Saccharomyces cerevisiae S288C: one gene and its partners. The gene in region 2 interacts genetically with the main gene of each other region. Each region holds a gene or a part of one and is shown on either strand. Other genes may lie near its edges. The genes, in order: PHO5, DCV1, ALK2 and DSF2.

What was found.
Region 1: mutations in DCV1 (region 2) and PHO5 together harm fitness more than expected from each alone (negative genetic interaction), as found in Saccharomyces cerevisiae (2 studies listed by BioGRID).
Region 3: mutations in DCV1 (region 2) and ALK2 together harm fitness more than expected from each alone (negative genetic interaction), as found in Saccharomyces cerevisiae (2 studies listed by BioGRID).
Region 4: mutations in DCV1 (region 2) and DSF2 together harm fitness more than expected from each alone (negative genetic interaction), as found in Saccharomyces cerevisiae (2 studies listed by BioGRID).

Annotation. Positions count from the first base shown.
Region 1 is NC_001134.8:427,853-432,510, forward strand, and holds PHO5 (acid phosphatase PHO5), read right to left. Parts: upstream 3,100-4,658; coding exon 1,696-3,099; downstream 1-1,695. Other genes in the region: acid phosphatase PHO3, read right to left, coding at 1-1,249; PBY1 (putative tubulin tyrosine ligase), read left to right, coding at 4,184-4,658. UniProt on the Saccharomyces cerevisiae protein: Partially mediates extracellular nucleotide derived phosphate hydrolysis along with NPP1 and NPP2.
Region 2 is NC_001138.5:166,266-170,191, reverse strand, and holds DCV1 (Dcv1p), read right to left. Parts: upstream 2,305-3,926; coding exon 1,696-2,304; downstream 1-1,695. Other genes in the region: IOC3 (Ioc3p), read right to left, coding at 1-270; YFR012W-A (uncharacterized protein), read right to left, coding at 882-968; MIC19 (Mic19p), read left to right, coding at 2,934-3,446; ubiquitin-specific protease UBP6, read right to left, coding at 3,626-3,926.
Region 3 is NC_001134.8:205,663-209,724, reverse strand, and holds ALK2 (protein kinase ALK2), read right to left. Parts: upstream 2,532-4,062; coding exon 501-2,531; downstream 1-500. Other genes in the region: HIR1 (Hir1p), read right to left, coding at 1-72; YBL008W-A (uncharacterized protein), read right to left, coding at 77-316; LAA2 (Laa2p), read left to right, coding at 2,776-3,618; bifunctional glycerol-3-phosphate/glycerone-phosphate O-acyltransferase SCT1, read right to left, coding at 3,908-4,062. UniProt on the Saccharomyces cerevisiae protein: Serine/threonine haspin-like protein kinase involved in cell cycle regulation.
Region 4 is NC_001134.8:248,306-253,951, reverse strand, and holds DSF2 (Dsf2p), read left to right. Parts: upstream 1-2,935; coding exon 2,936-5,146; downstream 5,147-5,646. Other genes in the region: FLR1 (Flr1p), read left to right, coding at 1-1,389; UGA2 (succinate-semialdehyde dehydrogenase (NAD(P)(+))), read right to left, coding at 5,449-5,646.

The DNA of each region.
Region 1 (4,658 bases), on a different chromosome or scaffold from region 2:
CACAAGAGAACCCTGGGCCGGTGGAACAGGTTTCAATTGGAACGACAGCATCGTTAATGACGTATCTGACGTAGGTGTCGTTAGAACATTGGAATTTTTCGGTGTAGACACGAGCACCTTGAGGAACGTACCAGGACTTATGGAAGGTGTTGCCCATGAATGGAACGTATTCGGCAGTTAAGTTGTTTTTGTCGTCAATTATACCAGCGGTGGTCAAATAGTTTAGGATATCGGTATCGTGGGTAAAACTCAACCAGACTTTTAAGTCTTGAGTTTCACTTTGCTTTAACAACTTCAAAGTAGCGTTAAACAAGTTGGCACCGACGGATCTGATCATATCATAACCTGGTCCATCCTGGTAAAACGATACCAGGTCCTGGCCGTATGAGTAACGTACCAATTCATCTTCGGTGAAGATATCACAAACATCACTGTAGCCTCTAGCGTTCAATTCGTATGCACACCATGCAAACAAAGTGTTGGCGTCCTTTGAGGTCAAATTCAAACCCTTGTTTTCTTTGTTTAATCTCTTGGCAATGTCATCCAAGTATGTGGTATCGTATTTGTCCAAAATGTCATCGTTAGCATCTTCATCCCATCCTGGGCACGCATTACCAGCACTCAAAGTGTTTGCGCCGGCGGACATGGCTTCACTGACAGTCTGCAAGGAGATGTTGAATTGGTCACCTAAACCATCAATGAAATATTGAGCAGTGTCATGAACCCTTTCAGAACTAGCGGCGAAAATTGGGAAACTGGTTTGATTTTCGAACATGTAGCCATATTGCGCTAAAAACTCACGAGCATGTCTCTTAGCATCCATCTCACCAGTGTATGGATTCAAAACATTGTCTGAGTTGGCAAAAGTGGTTTCCATTTCCAAATCATCGTCATCACGGATGAAAAACTCGTAATCATCGTTCAAGAATGACAATGAGCCGTTGAATTGACGTGTGTAATTGCTCAACTTATACCATGTTTTCATGATGGTAGCACCTTTACTGTAAGTTGGGTATCTTTCACCATGTCTGGCAAGCATTTGCAATTGTTTCATTTCACAACCTTCAGGCAAGTCACGAGAAATACCATAGTCGCCAGGGAAAGAGAAGTATGGCCCGGCACCACCCAGGAATGGGAATATGTCTTCCTGAGTGCCAATTTTGGCAACATCGGCTAACTCTCCGAGGGGAATTGTACCTGCATTAACTAAAGCAGCGGCTAGAACCGAATAAACAACAGACTTAAACATAGGTAATTTGGAATGGCCCTTTCTTTACTGTAGTATTTTTTTTATGATAATCAAGGCATAATTGACTTCCATCCAGCAAATTTAAGCACTTATATATGTTGCATAGGACTACTCAAAGCTGTTTACTATTTCCCAAACTGGTATTATTTAGTAAATTTCTTTTGAATTTTTTTTTTTTCACTCTTCCTTTTTTTCATTTTTGCGATGCCAGTTCTTTGAGTTTCCCTTATACGGCATATGCACTTAAGGTTTGATTTTGCTAATTAAAGGCGTGCCTAAGCGGCGACTAATACTGTAATATAATATGGGTTCCTGACTGACTACAGGGATTGAAACATCCATTTACCTGTTTCGGATATCTCTGCAGATTTTAATCTTTCGGCAAAATTTAGATAAAAAATTTGGGTATTCGTATTTAGTTTCCAATATTATTTAGTTATACAAAACTATTGTCTCAATAGACTGGCGTTGTAATGAGTAGTGTTCCAGTCCCAGTAGAAGGTCAATTCAGTAGAGTTACTGACGCTGCTGACGTTACAGACCTTTAGGAAGTCAGTACCGGCTACTCTCTTTTCAGCATAGTCGTAGAAGTCATTGATTTCACAAGAGAACCCTGGACCAGTGGAACAGGTTTCAATTGGAACAACAGCATCGTTAATGACGTATCTGACGTAGGTGTCGTTAGAACATTGGAATTTTTCGGTGTAGACACGAGCACCTTGAGGAACGTACCAGGATCTGTGGAAAGTGTTGCCCATGAATGGAACGTATTCGGCAGTTAAGTTGTTTTTGTCGTCAATTATACCAGCGGTGGTCAAAAAGTTTAGGATATCGGTATCGTGGGTAAAACTCAACCAAACCTTTTGGTCTTGAATCTCACTTTGCTTTAATAATTTGACTGAGGCATTGAACAAGTTGGAACCGACAGACTTGATAATGTCGTAACCTGGACCCTCATGGTAATAAGTGTGCAAGTCTTGGTAGTAGGAGTAATGGACTAATTCATCCTTGGTGAAAATATCACAGACATCACTGTAACCTTTAGCGTTCACTTCAAATGCACACCACGAGAATAAAGTACTAGCGTCAGTTGAGGTCAAGTTCAAACCCTTGTTTTCCTTGTTCAATCTCTTGGCAATGTCATCCAAGTAGGTTGTGTCGTATTCATTTACAATGTCATCATTGGCATCGTAGTCCCAAGCAGGACATGAGTTACAAGCACTCAAAGTGTTGGCACCAGCGGATTCAGCTTCACTGACAGTCTGCAAGGTGATGTTGAATTGGTCACCTAAACCATCAATGAAATATTGAGCAGTGTCATGACATCTCTTAGAATTAGAGGTAAAAACGGCGAAACTGGTTTGGTTTTCGACCATGTAACCGTATTGAGCCAAGAAGTCACGAGCATGTCTCTTGGCGTTCATTTCACCAGTGTATGGGTTCAAAACATCGTCCGAGTTGGCAAAAGTGGTTTCCATTTCCAAATCATCGTCATCACGGATGAAAAACTCGTAATCATCGTTCAAGAATGACAATGAGCCGTTGAATTGACGAGTGTAATTGCTCAACTTATACCATGTACTCTTGATAGTCTTAGCCAGACTGACAGTAGGGTATCTTTCACCATGTCTACCAACCATTTGCAGTTGCTTCATTTCACAACCTTCAGGCAAATCACGAGAAATACCATAGTCGCCAGGGAAAGAGTAGTATGGTCCGGCACCACCCAAAAATGGGAAGATATCTTTTTGGGTACCAATCTTGTCGACATCGGCTAGTTTGCCTAAGGGAATGGTACCTGCATTGGCCAAAGAAGCGGCTAAAATTGAATAAACAACAGATTTAAACATTGGTAATCTCGAATTTGCTTGCTCTATTTGTTGTTGTTCTTATTCTCATGAGAGATGAAGCCATACTAACCTCGACTTAGCAAAACATCAGCGCTTATATACGTTTCATTTCGACAATTCAAAGATGTTTACCCTTATCCCAAATGGGTATATGCCTTGCCAAGTAAGGTGACCAATTTGATAATTTGGCATGTGCGATCTCTTCGAAAACAGGGACCAGAATCATAAATTTAGTCTGTGCTAGTCCCACGTGTGAGTGCCAAGGTTGTATCGATTCATTTAGAGATTGCCTATTCAATTAACTCTTTTAATCACTTTTACTTTTTTTGGCATTGTGCAGTTGCGTTCTATGCGAAAACGTGCTAATTTAATATATATTTCTTTGTGCAGACAAAGAAAAAGCGCTATGAACCTTTTACCTTCGTTTGAAGTTTATAGACGACGTCCGCTTACATGAGAAAACATTAAAGCAGCGCACATAAGATGACTTCCAAATACGTTGACATATTTGCGCATTCTTGTTGAATACAACTTTCGGATCCTTGTAATGCCGGTCTCCGGCGTCCTGTAAAGAGAGCGTGCGACACGCCGCTATTAGCGTGGGGACTGACATCAGGTCAACATTATTATTGTAGCGAGCTACTTTCGGTCAGTAAATAGAACATATGTAGAGATACAAGCGATTATTAGAAGGAGCGGACCTACAACAAAGTTGGGTCACGTTTCTCGCAATTATTACTTGGATGCCCTCCTAGCTAATGCCAATGTGCAGTAGTAACTTATCAGTCCGATGTGTAAAAAATAGAACTAATTTTTTGCGAAAAGATGGACAAAAACCATCTCTGGTCAATTTTCTCACTAAAGAGGGACGGAGTCTCTTGTTTTCTTCTATTAGTGCACAGGGAATGTTTTGATTTTCCCTTTTTTTTTCTTTCGCTTCTTCAACAGTGGTAAAAATAAAAATTATTGGCGATGGGATAACCAAGGAACATTGTATTTAGCAATTGAAAATTACGGTAAAGGCAGCCGCTCTGACTTGATCTCTGACATTAAAAATTCGGAAACAATAAATATTTCTTTTAAGATGCGGGTTTTAATAACTAACGATGATGGTCCCTTAAGTGATCAGTTTTCACCATACATTAGACCTTTTATTCAGCACATTAAAAGAAATTATCCTGAATGGAAAATCACGGTTTGTGTACCTCATGTCCAGAAATCATGGGTGGGTAAGGCTCATCTTGCTGGTAAAAATTTGACAGCTCAATTCATATATTCTAAAGTTGACGCTGAAGACAATACTTTTTGGGGCCCATTTATCCAGCCACAAATTAGGTCAGAAAACTCTAAATTACCTTATGTTCTCAATGCTGAAATTCCGAAAGATACAATTGAGTGGATATTAATCGATGGAACTCCAGCATCGTGCGCAAACATCGGGCTGCACCTATTGTCTAATGAACCGTTTGATCTAGTACTGTCGGGTCCAAATGTTGGTAGAAATACATCTGCTGCTTATATTACCTCTTCTGGTACCGTAGGAGGCGCAATGGAATCTG
Region 2 (3,926 bases):
TTTCTTAGGAGGAGCAGGTCTCTTCCTCTTGGGTTTATTCGCCCTTTCCTTTAACTCTTCCTCGTATTCATCATAAATGCTCGTTCTTGGCTTAGGAACACGTCTTGATCTCCTTAAATTATCAGAAGATTGTGAAACACTAACACTTTGATCGGTTTGTAAGGGCATAGCCATTGATACGCGATCATGATCATGGTCAGCAAGCTGTGCGGAAGAGCTGCCCTGGGCTTCTTGCTGCAAATTCTGGATAGAATTGGATGGAGAATCCATAAACAATAGGGGATTGCAAACTTTGCTTGAAGTACTTGGTAAGTGATAGTTTTGTTGGCCGAAACCAATGTGGAAGATATCACCATCTTAAGAAATTAAGTCCATTCATTAGTATAAACTCACGTAATTTCAATGAATTTGTTAAAGTTTCAGCAAATCGTGAAGCACGATATTTCACTTTTATGATCCGAGAGGGAATATTACTAGTACTTCCACGCATAAGGAAAGTCAATGTTAACAAATACCGCCATACCGCCATACCTGTCCTCTGTAGTCACTGCTAATGTTAATGTAAATAAATTACATCTAAAAGTTGTTTTCTCTTCAGTAATTTTAGAAACCGTTAAGAGGAAAAATGGGCACTTCCTTTCTTTGTTTCAGAAATTAAGCTCAAAAAGATGGGCTCGATAAAAGTAGCATACTATTTACTCTATCTTATTTTTATTTTCTATATACTAGTCTATCAGACTCAGACGTCAACGATGTGGAATACGGATGGAATCATTAAATAGTAGCAAGAAGTACTTTATTCTTATTTTTCAAATTGCGGCGCGCCAACAAAACGCGTACAAAAAAAGCAGATTGGATAGTACTTTATTCTTGTTATTTTGTCATTGGAAAGTATAAGCTGGTTGTGGATTACTCTTCACACGATGTGCCTGTTTTTTGTAGGCGGGCTTGTACTTTCTGGGGAGCATGCTGTGTATGTTGTAGGTCTGTGGCAATGTTTGTCGGGAGTGTTCGCTGTTACCATGAGTTGTCTGTGAGTAGTAGCGATTGTAATTGTGGTTGTATCCTACTGGTCTTCTTCGGGAATACCAAGGAATGAAAGAGTTATGAGGAACCTCACTTTGATCCTGGTAATTATTTGGTTGTTGTAGTTGATATTGGCGGGGCTCTGTGAGACAATGATTTTTTTTTGAATATATTTTAAAGCAATCGGCTGATTGGGTAGCCTCAACGCCAAATAACCAAGGAGGGTCGTAGTTATCTTGTGAATGGCTTGAGATTCCCTCATAATATAAAATATTTGCCTTTTTTTTTTCAGTAGGCATTTCCACATTTTCTTGCTTTGCAGGTAAGTCGGTTATATTGATTTCATCCAAAGATAAGGATTTTTGATTTTCAACATGCCTTCTAGAAAATATTTGTTTACCATTCAACTTTGGAGCGAAGAAACTCACCAAACCTGCTTGCTTCAATGGAGATTTGATTTCAGGCGGTGGTTCATCTTGATTTGTTACCGCCAGTTTATCTTGATTGGGATCTAAGGTCCTTGGTAGATCATTAAAAAGACTTGTGATGTCATACACAGATTGGTCTGTGCCCTTAGTTGTTTGTGGATAATTTTCGCCAAGGGAACTTGATGTTTGACTCGTTCCATATAGTTTGAGAATACTGTCTACGTTCTCTATACTAGCTTCTTTAGCTATGTTTTCTGTCTGACTGCGCAGACGTATCAAACCTAAAACTGAGAAAATGCACGCCAATAACGAGCAGAGGGAACAGGGAACAGTTAGCCAGCCACACCAAGTCGTATAAGGATGAAATTGTAACAGGATCACGGTGCATGCAAAGTAACAGGATCACGGTGCATGCAAAAATAGTTGATAAAAGTGTCAATATGTGTAATATAGCGTTGGAAGTAATAAGTGAGACATTAGTTCCTCCAGTCTGAAAAAGAAAAATAATAACCAAGGGAAGTGCAAAAGAAATGAAAGTCAAACATGTAGCAACCGGTATCGAAATCAAAAGTCCTCCTATTGTATGTCTTGCCTTAGGACTCAGCCACCAACGTTCAAGAGAAGGGCCAGGTAATATTTCTTTCGAGGTGTTATATATTAAACGTACTCGAGAGCAGGAAAAAGAATTCAAAGTTTTACAGTAACCAAAGGTACCATATGAAACTCCAGCAGCTTGAGCCAGCCCCCAGTTTCTAATTATTGGTGAAGTTAAACAACATATCATAAAGCCAGAAAAAGAGATTAATTGTAGGAAAGAGGAAAACAATAAAATCAATTTATAATTTAGCATCAATTATTGAATATGGTACCAAAAAAAAAAAATTAGCAAAAAAAGGCAATTTTCTCACCTTCTTGTAATTATTACGCGTAAGGACAGATCATAAAAGTGTATTTCATCCTCAATCATCAATTAAATAATTTATTTATTAACATTCATATATATTTATATTTTCGTTTGCAATTTCGCAATTTTAATATGTCACAAAAAAAGCGCCCACAGAATTATCAAGAAGACCAACCAAATCAATAATAAAATTCGGCAAATAACATTATTAGATTTTTCATGAGATTTAAGAAATACTTGTTCTGTTGTTTAACTGATGGTTTATTACTTATATTTAAATATTGAAAGCTGCAAGATTTAAAAAAATATCTCCCGGGGGCGAGTCGAACGCCCGATCTCAAGATTTCGTAGTGGTAAATTACAGTCTTGCGCCTTAAACCAACTTGGCTACCGAGAGTCGTTTTTGTTGTAAAAAACTACGAATATTCGTGGTATGTCGCATATATATATATTTCTTCTTCCAATGAGACGCAGAGGAAAAAACAAGTGAGGAGGAACATTTCAAAGAGATTGCTAATCAAAAAAAAATTCAAGAACAAAAACAAGGTGGTATATCGACTAATACAGAGTCAATCATGGGTTCAAACACTTCCAAAGTGGGTGCTGGTGCAGAAAAACAACAAGTCTATACTCCGCTAACACAGATCGATTTTTCACAGTCTTTGGTTTCTCAATTGGATTCATCGAAGGAATCAGACTATGTCACCAAGCAAAATGCAGAAAAGTTCATTGAGAAGAAGGTTTCACAAAGGCTATCTAACCTAGAAGTTGAAACGTTAAAGAAGTTTGAAGATACTTTGAACAATTCACTATTATCAGACGACGACAAGGATGCCGTTGATGGAATATCATCAAGTTCATTGAATAATCAAATCGAGTCGTTGAACAAGAAACTAACATTATTTGATCAATTAGAGTTACAAAAGTTGGAGAAATATGGGGGTGCCAAAGGTAAATCTGATAAAAAAACCGACAACGGCAGCATTTCTATAAAGGCAAAATTGACTGAGTGTCTTTTGGCCAATAAGGGCAAGCCATTGAATTGTTACGAAGAGATGGAAGAATTCAAGAAGCTCGTTATGGGTTGAATAAGAAAAAGTATACATAAACTCGACCAAAAAGAATTCGCCATTTCATGTATATAAAATGCATTTTTATCGATTGGCGGATGAACGTAAAAGGGAGAGAAATATTTTTATGTGTATGTAAAAAAATGTATATGTATATTCCGAAAAAACTATTAATTTTGAAAAAATGAAAAATGGACTTACAGACCAAATCCTTTATACATTAAGATCAGTGCACTATCACTTTCGCCCCCACCGGCTAAAGATTCAATTTTTTCCTTTTCAACAACGCTAACTTTATCATCATTAAATTTGTACCATTTATTTTCGTCCAGTTCGTCCCTTATGAAAGCTTGATAGTGTCCAGACTCAGAATTGGCACCTTGATGTGTAATGACACCGATCAAGTTATAAACACAAGATGGGTTTTCACCTTTTTCCAAGTTTGGAGGAAAATGTTTCTTATACTCTTCGAGCCATTGATCTTTTTCACTTTCGTTA
Region 3 (4,062 bases), on a different chromosome or scaffold from region 2:
ATCGACTGTGTATATTTCATATTTTCGCGATTCTTCACGGTGAGCCAACCATGGAAACTTTACCACTTTCATGTTATCAGAGACCTTTGGTTACTGGCAATTTTATTATGCTTCGTTGGTAAGCCTTAATTATTTTATGAATGTTCGCCAATATTATATGTTTCTGCCACCTAAACCAGTAACTTCGTTTTATTTTTGTTGCGATGCGAGATGATTGATTTTGAATATTCTTACGATTACAGTAGCAGTCAACCTGAAAAAGGCAAAAGAAAAATAACGACTTACAGAGGATAACAGTACAAGGGTTCATTTTCATCTGTAAAACATTTTAAAAATGTGCTTTCAGTTTGTGGGGCAAGCTAAAGATAACTGTTCTCAGAAAGAGTGTTCATATTATACTATTTATTTCCTTTCCATTACAAATTGATGTACGTAATTTTTTTTTGCTTACAAATCATTAAGAAGGATACAAAAGCTTGCACCTTATTACTACGATGTCTTTACTGCATTATTTCTCCCTTCAAAGATAACAAATCACCGCAAGTTCTTATAACAAGTTCCTTTTTGAAAATTGTTTTGGAATGTTTTCGAGCAGGATCGAGTAAGTGCGTCAACTCGATTAAGATATTTTCTTCCCGGTTCAAAGCGCCGCTGACTACGGCTTTTTTGGCCATTTTTAGCAGGCTGCTACTTAGGTGATATAACCATAATAGGTTTGTTCTTGGTTCAAATGTAGCCCAGGATATTGGCTGAGGCAGCATGCTTCTCATCAGTTCATATATCTCGAATTGAAGAGTCCCCCGGCCTTGGAAGAAATAATGATGGTCTAATCTTGTATAGGAAGCCTTATTGTTGTCTATATTCAAGAAACGACAGCACTTCATATCAATTAAAGTAACATTCCCTTTAGAGTCTATCAAAATATGGTCCAAAGTTAGATTCCTGTGTTCGAGCTGAAATTTGGATTCAGCAACATATAAAATACTGCTGCACTGCCAGAAAATAGACAATGCTTGAGAGTAATCAATGTTAGAGCACCTTGATAGAGGAGTTCCCTGGTATTTGAAAAATAAGTACAGTATCAAGTTTTGGTCATTTTCACATTGATTTGAGGGCACAACATAAGCTTGCAGTAAATTGGCGACACCGCTAGTTCCTTGTATTAACCGTAATGATTTCAATTCATGTAAGGATATCAAGTTTGAAGTAGTCAAATCACTTAGAGCCCCTAGACATACTTTCTTGCAAATGAGTGAAGTTTGCATATCGCTATGATAAGTTTGCCAAAAGTTATGAGACAGCTGAACCGATCTAGTATTCAACGTAAACAAGCCTAATGACTGAGCTTCACGTAGATCATGTAATATATACTTAACATCACAAAGTTGTAATATTTGTTGCAAAATTGAATCATTGTAGTCCAAAGTGTTTATGGGAGTGACTTCTGAAGATAAGGATGCCAATGATGTTGAATTTTTCAATTTCAGTTGAATCTTGTCCTTTGAGACTTGGTCTGGAACAGGCAATGATATTTGGCAAGTTTTTTTGATCGGATGATTCAGTTCTTGTGTATTTCCTTTACGCCTTACTTTGAGCTTATTTAGTGAAGAATGTGATGTTTTATGCTTCAAACTTCTAAAGGAAAGGTTCGATGATGAATGTTTGTGGTTTAGCTCCTTCGTGCTCTGATGATCGGGCATAATAAATCCAGAATTCCTCTTCTTCTCTGTGTGTTTGCCACCACCAAAAATAGAATTGTGAAAACTTGAAATTGAAGACTTCTTTTGTAACGAATTGGTTGGTTTTGGCTGAACAAAGTTCGGATCTTGGTCATTCACAGATCTGGAAGATAGCGACCTCGACAATAGGTTATCATTTTTCCAGAACTTCCACTTTGAAGAAGAGGTGGTAGAAGTAAAGGAATTAACTGAGTTCACACTGGATGAATGAACATGAGAACTTGTCTTCTCGTCACCCCAGCATTTGAAATCACTACCGCTCCGAAACTTAAGTGATCTAAAATCTTTAACAGGCTCATCCCTTGATAAAGTCGATTGGTTTGAAATAGGTCTCAAGGGTGTACGAAACTTGGAGTTAGTCACCTTTGTAAGACCTTGCTTCGACAACCTTTTAGATGGAGAGAGCAGCTTGTTTTCCGATAGCACCGACTGAGATACATTTTCTTTGTTTGAAGAGTGAGCGGTATCATTAATATTAATTTTATTGAAGAGTTGTTTGAGCGATGAACCTGTAGAAGATCTTTTACCATAGTAATCATCGTTTTCGATGGTTTTACCTACAGGCCTTGTTTTGGATGTTGGAGAATCTGAAGAAGTAAAAAAGGATTGACTCTCATCTTCTGCTGAACCCTTGTGCGAAGTGATTTTGTAAACTTTTCTTCCTACATCCACTGCGGGGCTTCCCATGGATGAAGAATTTAATGAGCTGTCGGCATCATCGCTTTCTGCTACTTCGAGAGCAAAATACCTTCTGTCAGTCATCTGTTGATCTGCTACCGCATCAAAATTCATTTTCTCAATACAAATAGCGCATGTATGTGTGTTTGGTGAAATGATTTTACTACAACTAAATATATTAATACCAATACGCTTTAAGTTATTGTTTACTATTTTCGCTTTTCGAGAAGAGAAGATGTTACAAAAAGTTTCGCGAATTGCTATCAAAACTGAAAAAAAAAAAAAACGTTAGGCGTATCACAAACGAGAATTTAAGGTGTAGCAAGATAGAAAAAGGCACCTCTTTCAAAGCAAGCAAATGAGCGATAGAGATCAGATAGAACCTGTCACAAATGCATTAGATGCAGAAAGTGATTCTAGTGATGATTTTGGGAATTTTTCAGATGCCTCAGTTGAAAATGACCTCTATAACCAGAATTCTACTTTAACGACGTCTTCCGAATCTGTAGTAGATAACTGCTTGAATAAGATACTACCAAAGGGAGAATTTGACCTGGAAGAAGAAACCATAAAGAATGACTGTTTCAAGCTGAGCAAACTTATTGAAGATGAACGACCCCATGTCATTTATGAACAACTCGTACAATTAGATCCTGTGTTACAGCCATTCATATGGAATAAATCTCATATACGCAGAAACTTGCTCCACATTTTGAGATTATCGGATAATAATGGCTCTGAGGGTGTTGGTACGAAGAGGGAGGAAGAACCGTTGAATGATGAGTTGTTCAAAAGGATATGCGATGCAGTGGAGAAAAATGAGCAAACGGCTACTGGTCTCTTCCTGAGGGATAATTTCAAAATTGACTATACACCACCAATGACTTTAAAATCTCTTCAAAAGGAAGAGGAGCGTGAGCAAGAGCAGCATATACCGCAATTGCTTATGGCAGATTTTACTAGTATGGATGAAGAATCTTTACGCCAATACCACGATACATTGTGTCAATCCATTGACTTTTTGGTTAGTAAATCAAGATCATTGAAGAAACAACAGCGAGACCTCCTAAAGGATAAGACAACTTTTGAAAATGTAGTGACGAATTTGACAGGACATACCCAAAGACTACAGCGAGACGAAATTGCATTGTATAACAAAAAGCGAAACAAAAAGAAAAGGTTCAGTTGGGTAGGATACTAATCGCCGTCTCGGCAAAGCAGGTTGAACGTTGAAGTTTGAAGAGAATAAAATGTTATTAGTAGCATAGGGGACCAGACCAAAAGTCGTAAAAGAGCAATATACTTTTTTATAAAACATACAATTATACAATTAGTCCCCCCCTCAAGAAATAAAAAGCCCCTGTGCGAGGGATATACATAAACATTGAGCATTAATATTTACAACTCCCAATGAGCAATAATGGGTTTATTACATAAATAGAACGGCGAAAGATTTAGTTTCTAGTATCTTCACCGTCAGTAAATGGCATCTACGCATCTCCTTCTTTCCCTTCTTCTTCTTCTTCCTCTTCTTCTTCTTCCTCTTCTTCTTCCTCTTCCTCTTCCCTGGCAGTATTTTCACCAATTCTCTTGTTTAAGACGGCCTGTGCGATTTTACTTGCTAATCCATTTTTTTCCTCCAAGA
Region 4 (5,646 bases), on a different chromosome or scaffold from region 2:
GGCCCCAGTGATCCTGAGAACCCACAAAACTGGCCCCTACTGAAAAAATCATTGGTAGTATTCCAAATAATGTTACTTACTTGCGTCACGTACATGGGATCCTCCATTTACACACCTGGCCAGGAATATATTCAAGAAGAGTTCCACGTTGGTCATGTAGTGGCAACATTAAATCTTTCTTTATATGTTCTTGGTTATGGTCTAGGTCCCATCATTTTTTCACCGCTATCAGAAACTGCACGCTATGGCCGTCTAAATCTGTACATGGTGACTTTATTTTTTTTCATGATCTTTCAAGTTGGTTGTGCTACTGTGCATAACATCGGCGGTTTAATCGTCATGCGTTTCATCAGTGGCATACTGTGCAGCCCATCGTTGGCCACTGGTGGCGGTACAGTGGCTGATATCATTTCACCAGAAATGGTTCCTCTCGTTTTAGGTATGTGGTCAGCCGGTGCTGTTGCTGCGCCAGTCTTGGCTCCCTTACTAGGCGCTGCTATGGTCGATGCTAAAAATTGGCGATTCATATTTTGGTTATTAATGTGGTTAAGTGCTGCCACTTTTATCTTGTTGGCATTTTTCTTCCCTGAAACACAACACCATAATATTTTGTACCGCCGTGCTTTGAAATTGAGAAAAGAAACTGGTGATGACAGGTACTATACTGAACAGGATAAACTCGATAGAGAAGTTGATGCAAGAACTTTTTTGATCAATACTTTGTATAGGCCTCTCAAAATGATTATCAAAGAGCCTGCAATTTTGGCTTTTGATCTCTATATCGCTGTTGCTTATGGTTGTTTCTACTTATTCTTTGAAGCATTCCCTATTGTATTTGTAGGTATATACCACTTCAGCTTAGTTGAAGTTGGCTTGGCCTATATGGGGTTTTGCGTAGGGTGCGTACTTGCTTATGGCTTATTCGGTATTTTAAACATGAGGATTATTGTACCACGTTTTAGAAACGGCACATTCACCCCGGAAGCTTTTTTAATCGTGGCAATGTGTGTCTGCTGGTGCCTGCCTCTGTCTTTGTTCTTATTTGGTTGGACTGCTCGAGTGCATTGGATTTTGCCAGTTATCTCGGAAGTTTTTTTTGTTTTAGCTGTCTTTAACATTTTCCAAGCAACTTTTGCATATTTGGCTACATGCTACCCAAAGTATGTTGCATCCGTTTTTGCAGGCAATGGTTTTTGTCGGGCTTCGTTTGCCTGTGCTTTTCCGTTGTTTGGTAGAGCAATGTATGACAATTTAGCTACTAAGAACTATCCTGTGGCATGGGGTTCGTCCTTAGTGGGGTTCCTAACTTTAGGTCTAGCTATTATCCCGTTTATACTTTATAAGTATGGGCCATCATTACGTACAAGATCTTCGTACACAGAGGAGTAGAAAGCCGATGTTCTTACCATGAAAATTTGAATTATAATAACACAATTTTACTTATCGTCCATCTGTCGACAAAGATGTTCCACATAAGTTTACGTAAAGTTTAGCAGTGAAATAAATACTGTTCATAATGAACTTCATTGTTTATAAAAGTTGTTGTTGCAAGTATTCTCATGTTTATTTATCGCAGACTTGAAATCTTTGAAGGAAGATCTAAGGTCTACACACTATCGGTTACTTTGTGACCCTTTGCTTACCATACGGATGAAAAAAGAAAGAGGAATTACTTGAGCCACAATATCCTTCACTCATATTTGAAAATAGTACTTACTAAAGAAATATGCAACCATTTATACACGTAAGAAGTTCAATTATCAAATAGAAATTAAGCAAAATACTCAATTGAATACAGAGCAAAAGGATTAGCCATACGTTCTAGCACATTTTATGGGCCTAAGACATCATTTCCAGTTAACAGATAATATATTTCTACATAAAAACTTGGCTGTTCCACTGTCAAAGCCAAAAAGAGTCATTTGGTCATGAGAGTAGCTATGTTTCTACGACGAATCGAAAAAAAATGCATACTATTGATATCAAAATCATGCAGAAGGAACACATATTCATATATAACTAATCAGAGGATAAATCCTCTTGCGAATAAAAAGTTTGCGATGTTCTGATGCTTCAGGATTTCCTCTTAATAAATTCATATTTGAAGAGCCAAAGAACCAAAAGAATTGTACAAATTTTCTTCATCTATGAGAGGCCTAAAGGTTCGGGTTTGCTGCTATGTATCCTTGCTAAATTTTGATTATATTATGGCATTTATCGCTATTGCGTTTGCTTGCTGTTGCGCAAAAAATAATACAAAATACCTGATAATGTAAACAACGTAAATAATACAGGAAGTGATGCAAGAGAAGCTGCACAAAACTGCAGCATGCCTCACTTCGAAAAAAAAAAAAAAAAGAAGGAAGTCAGAAGAAGCAAGCCGATCTAAGACAGCTATTACCTCTAACAAGTAAGTCATAGATCAGAACGGCAATACCAGCCAGTGTACAATACAGCTGCATTACAACATAGCGTTTCTTGAACTTTTAGGTGACTGCTGGAAAAAATGAACGCGTCTCATATCGTGTGCGATGGCAACACCGGATCCCTGCGCTCAGAACATTCCGTGGACACCCACTGTCACTTCTTCGAGCCCCACCATTCCTTTACGCAGCCTGCGTGTGTTTCTGCGCGTTAAAACAATTATCACAGAAGGCTCCGGACGAAGAGCGGCAGAAAGAACAACGGTGCAACCGTCGTTGAATTTGATTATCAAATCACCTTATCTGCCATCGTGTTCTAGTAGTCTTCCATTGTATTACCACGGACATTCAAAAATAGTTCTTCTTTAGCAACTCTTTTTTTCTGTTGCCATTGCTCTTTGCGATAGCACATTCTGTTCCTCAATGCTAAATATAGGTGGAACTTGTAGGAGCCTCGAGAAAAAACAGAAAATCTAGAAAAACAAACGGACTTTTACGTCACACGAAAAGTAATGAATCAAAATTTAAAAAACACTTCTTGGGCTGATCGAATAGGAAGCGACGATCAAGAAAGAAAAGCTAACTCTTCAGAGGTTTCACAAAGCCCACCACCCAATAATAGCTTCGAGTCATCAATGGATTCACAATTTAGCTATGCTCATTCAAATAAAAGTAGCATTTCATTCGAATCTATTCAAACCACGGAAAGACTTCTTGACAAATTAGACCTCAGCTTGGAAGATGAACTGATTCTGCAAGAAGCTTTATTAGAAGAAGAAAACGCGTCGAGAAATTCGCAACTGTCACAAACAAGTGGTCCAACATTATGTATGCCTGCGTCGGAATTCCCTTCATTAAGGTATAGAACTAATCCCTCTCCAACATATATACAAGCTAGAGATCGTTCTCTTATCATAGACAATTTAAAAGAAAAGGATTCCACTTTGAGAGGCAAATACTCTTCCGGTAAAGTGGAAAGGCATTTGCCCGTGAAGTCGAGATACTCTTATATCGTCGAAGAAGATTATGACTCTGAGACTTTTAGTGGCATGAAACCCCAAATGAATAGAAATGAGAAAGATTATAAGTACCCAAACCTTGAAAATGGCAATAGAAGCACAAATAGCCCTAATCCTTTCAACTTCGAGAAATATAGGATTGAAAATACTAGACTGCACCATCTTTATCCTACGCTGATATCAGACAATAATACTAGCGTTGACAATAATGCTAATAGTAAGAATAACAGAACTACTAGTAATAATATTAATACATCTACAAAAACTGACAGAATATCCGAGAAGCAGAGTTGCCCCAATGAGTTCACAACCACGCAAAAGAGTAATTGTCTTTATCGGAACGGAAGTTCAACAAGCACCAACACCTCCTTTTCTGAAGTTGGACAACTATCAAAGCCGAAAACTCAGTCTTCTTTTGAAAGTGAATCATCCTCATTCTCCAAACTCAAGTTAACTAAGAGTGATACAACACCCATCAAACCATCTCCTAAACGGTCTAATTCCTCTACCTCGACGATAACGAAAACAAATACCATGACAAATGATATTTCATTACCTCCAACGCCACCATATAAAGCTCATAAAAAAAAAACGTCACTAAATTCGCTAAAAAAACTTTTTAAATCTCCTAGGACAAGAGCAAAAAATAAGAAAGACCTTGAGTCTGAAGGATCAAGCCCTATCCGGTCTGCCACCAATTCATTGGACTTCTCTGGGGAGAATATTCAACTTCCATCTACTTCAAGTACCATTAATAATTCCAGTCCACATTTAGCTAGGTATATTTTTCCTCCAAACCCAGTTTTCCATTTTAAAACAGCATCAACACCTCAGTCATCCACGGATAAAAAAAAGAACAGTAAAGCACGTCCAAATAGGACTCATTTGAGAACTTTCTCGGATTTCCATACAACGGAAAAAGATTCAAAAATAGGTGAACTAAGTGCACTAACAGAACAATCAAATAAGCCCTACCACCCGAAAGTTAGAAGAAGAACACTTTCTTTAGATGGTATGTTGCCCAATAATTCGACGCAATGCATGGATTCCTTCAGTCATAAAAAAGAAGGATCGAACGCAACAAGCAAGTGCGGGAAGCTTAAATTTCACCCAGAACCTTATGATAATGATGAATCTTCACACATCGGACAGGCAATTACTATGCGTCATCAAGGCAAACTTGAAGAATCTGCACAACGACTGAAAAAAGCCTGCGCGTGCGGAAACAAAACTGCGTTTCTGTTATATGGACTAGCCCTGCGACATGGCTGCGGAGTGGACAAGAACTTGAAATTATCATTAGGATATTTAATGGCTGCCACTGATATCAAATCCTTTGCTGCTGAGGTTCTTGATTTAGATATAAATCCGTTAAATTTTGCTTCAATGGACGATATCCCTGATATAGCGCCTGAACCAACAGCACCTGCCTTGTACGAATGTGGTATGGCATATTTAAAGGGTCTTGGGATGGATCATCCCGACGAGCGAAAAGGTTTGAAATTTTTGGAAAAAGCTGCTCTATTAGGCCATGTAGACTCAATGTGCTTAAGCGGGACAATTTGGTCCAAAACTTCAAACGTAAAGAAAAGGGATCTCGCCAGAGCTGCTGCATGGTTTAGGATAGCCGATAAAAAAGGTGCAAATCTATTAGGTTCAGATTGGATTTATAAGGAAAAGTACATGAAACAAGGTCCGAAATAAAGATAAAGAAACGTTGTATACATAAAAGCTTACAGAAAGGCTTAAAAGGAAAGGCATTTATTTTCGTACCATATATCTCACAAAAATAGATAGATAGATAGATATGATATTTTATGAATGGTATCACTTATTCCGCTTGTGAAAAACTTCAAAACTCCGTAAATATATGAACTCTTTTCTTTCAAAAAATTTACTTAACTTTCTATATACGAGGAGTAGAGTATTTATACATGCAATAGATATATACAATCATTACAAAGAATCATATTCAATTCTAAGTATCGTCCACGATTACTATTGCTTTAAATGCTGTTTGGCAAATTCCCAATTGTGATGGTCTTCAAAACAGTGTAATCTTCAATACCATATAGCGAACCTTCTCTTCCAAATCCTGACTCTTTAACACCACCAAATGGTATAGAACAATCCGAAAAAACACCTGTATTACATGAAACCATACCAGTTTCCAAAGCTTCAGACACAGTGTATAAAGTGTTGAC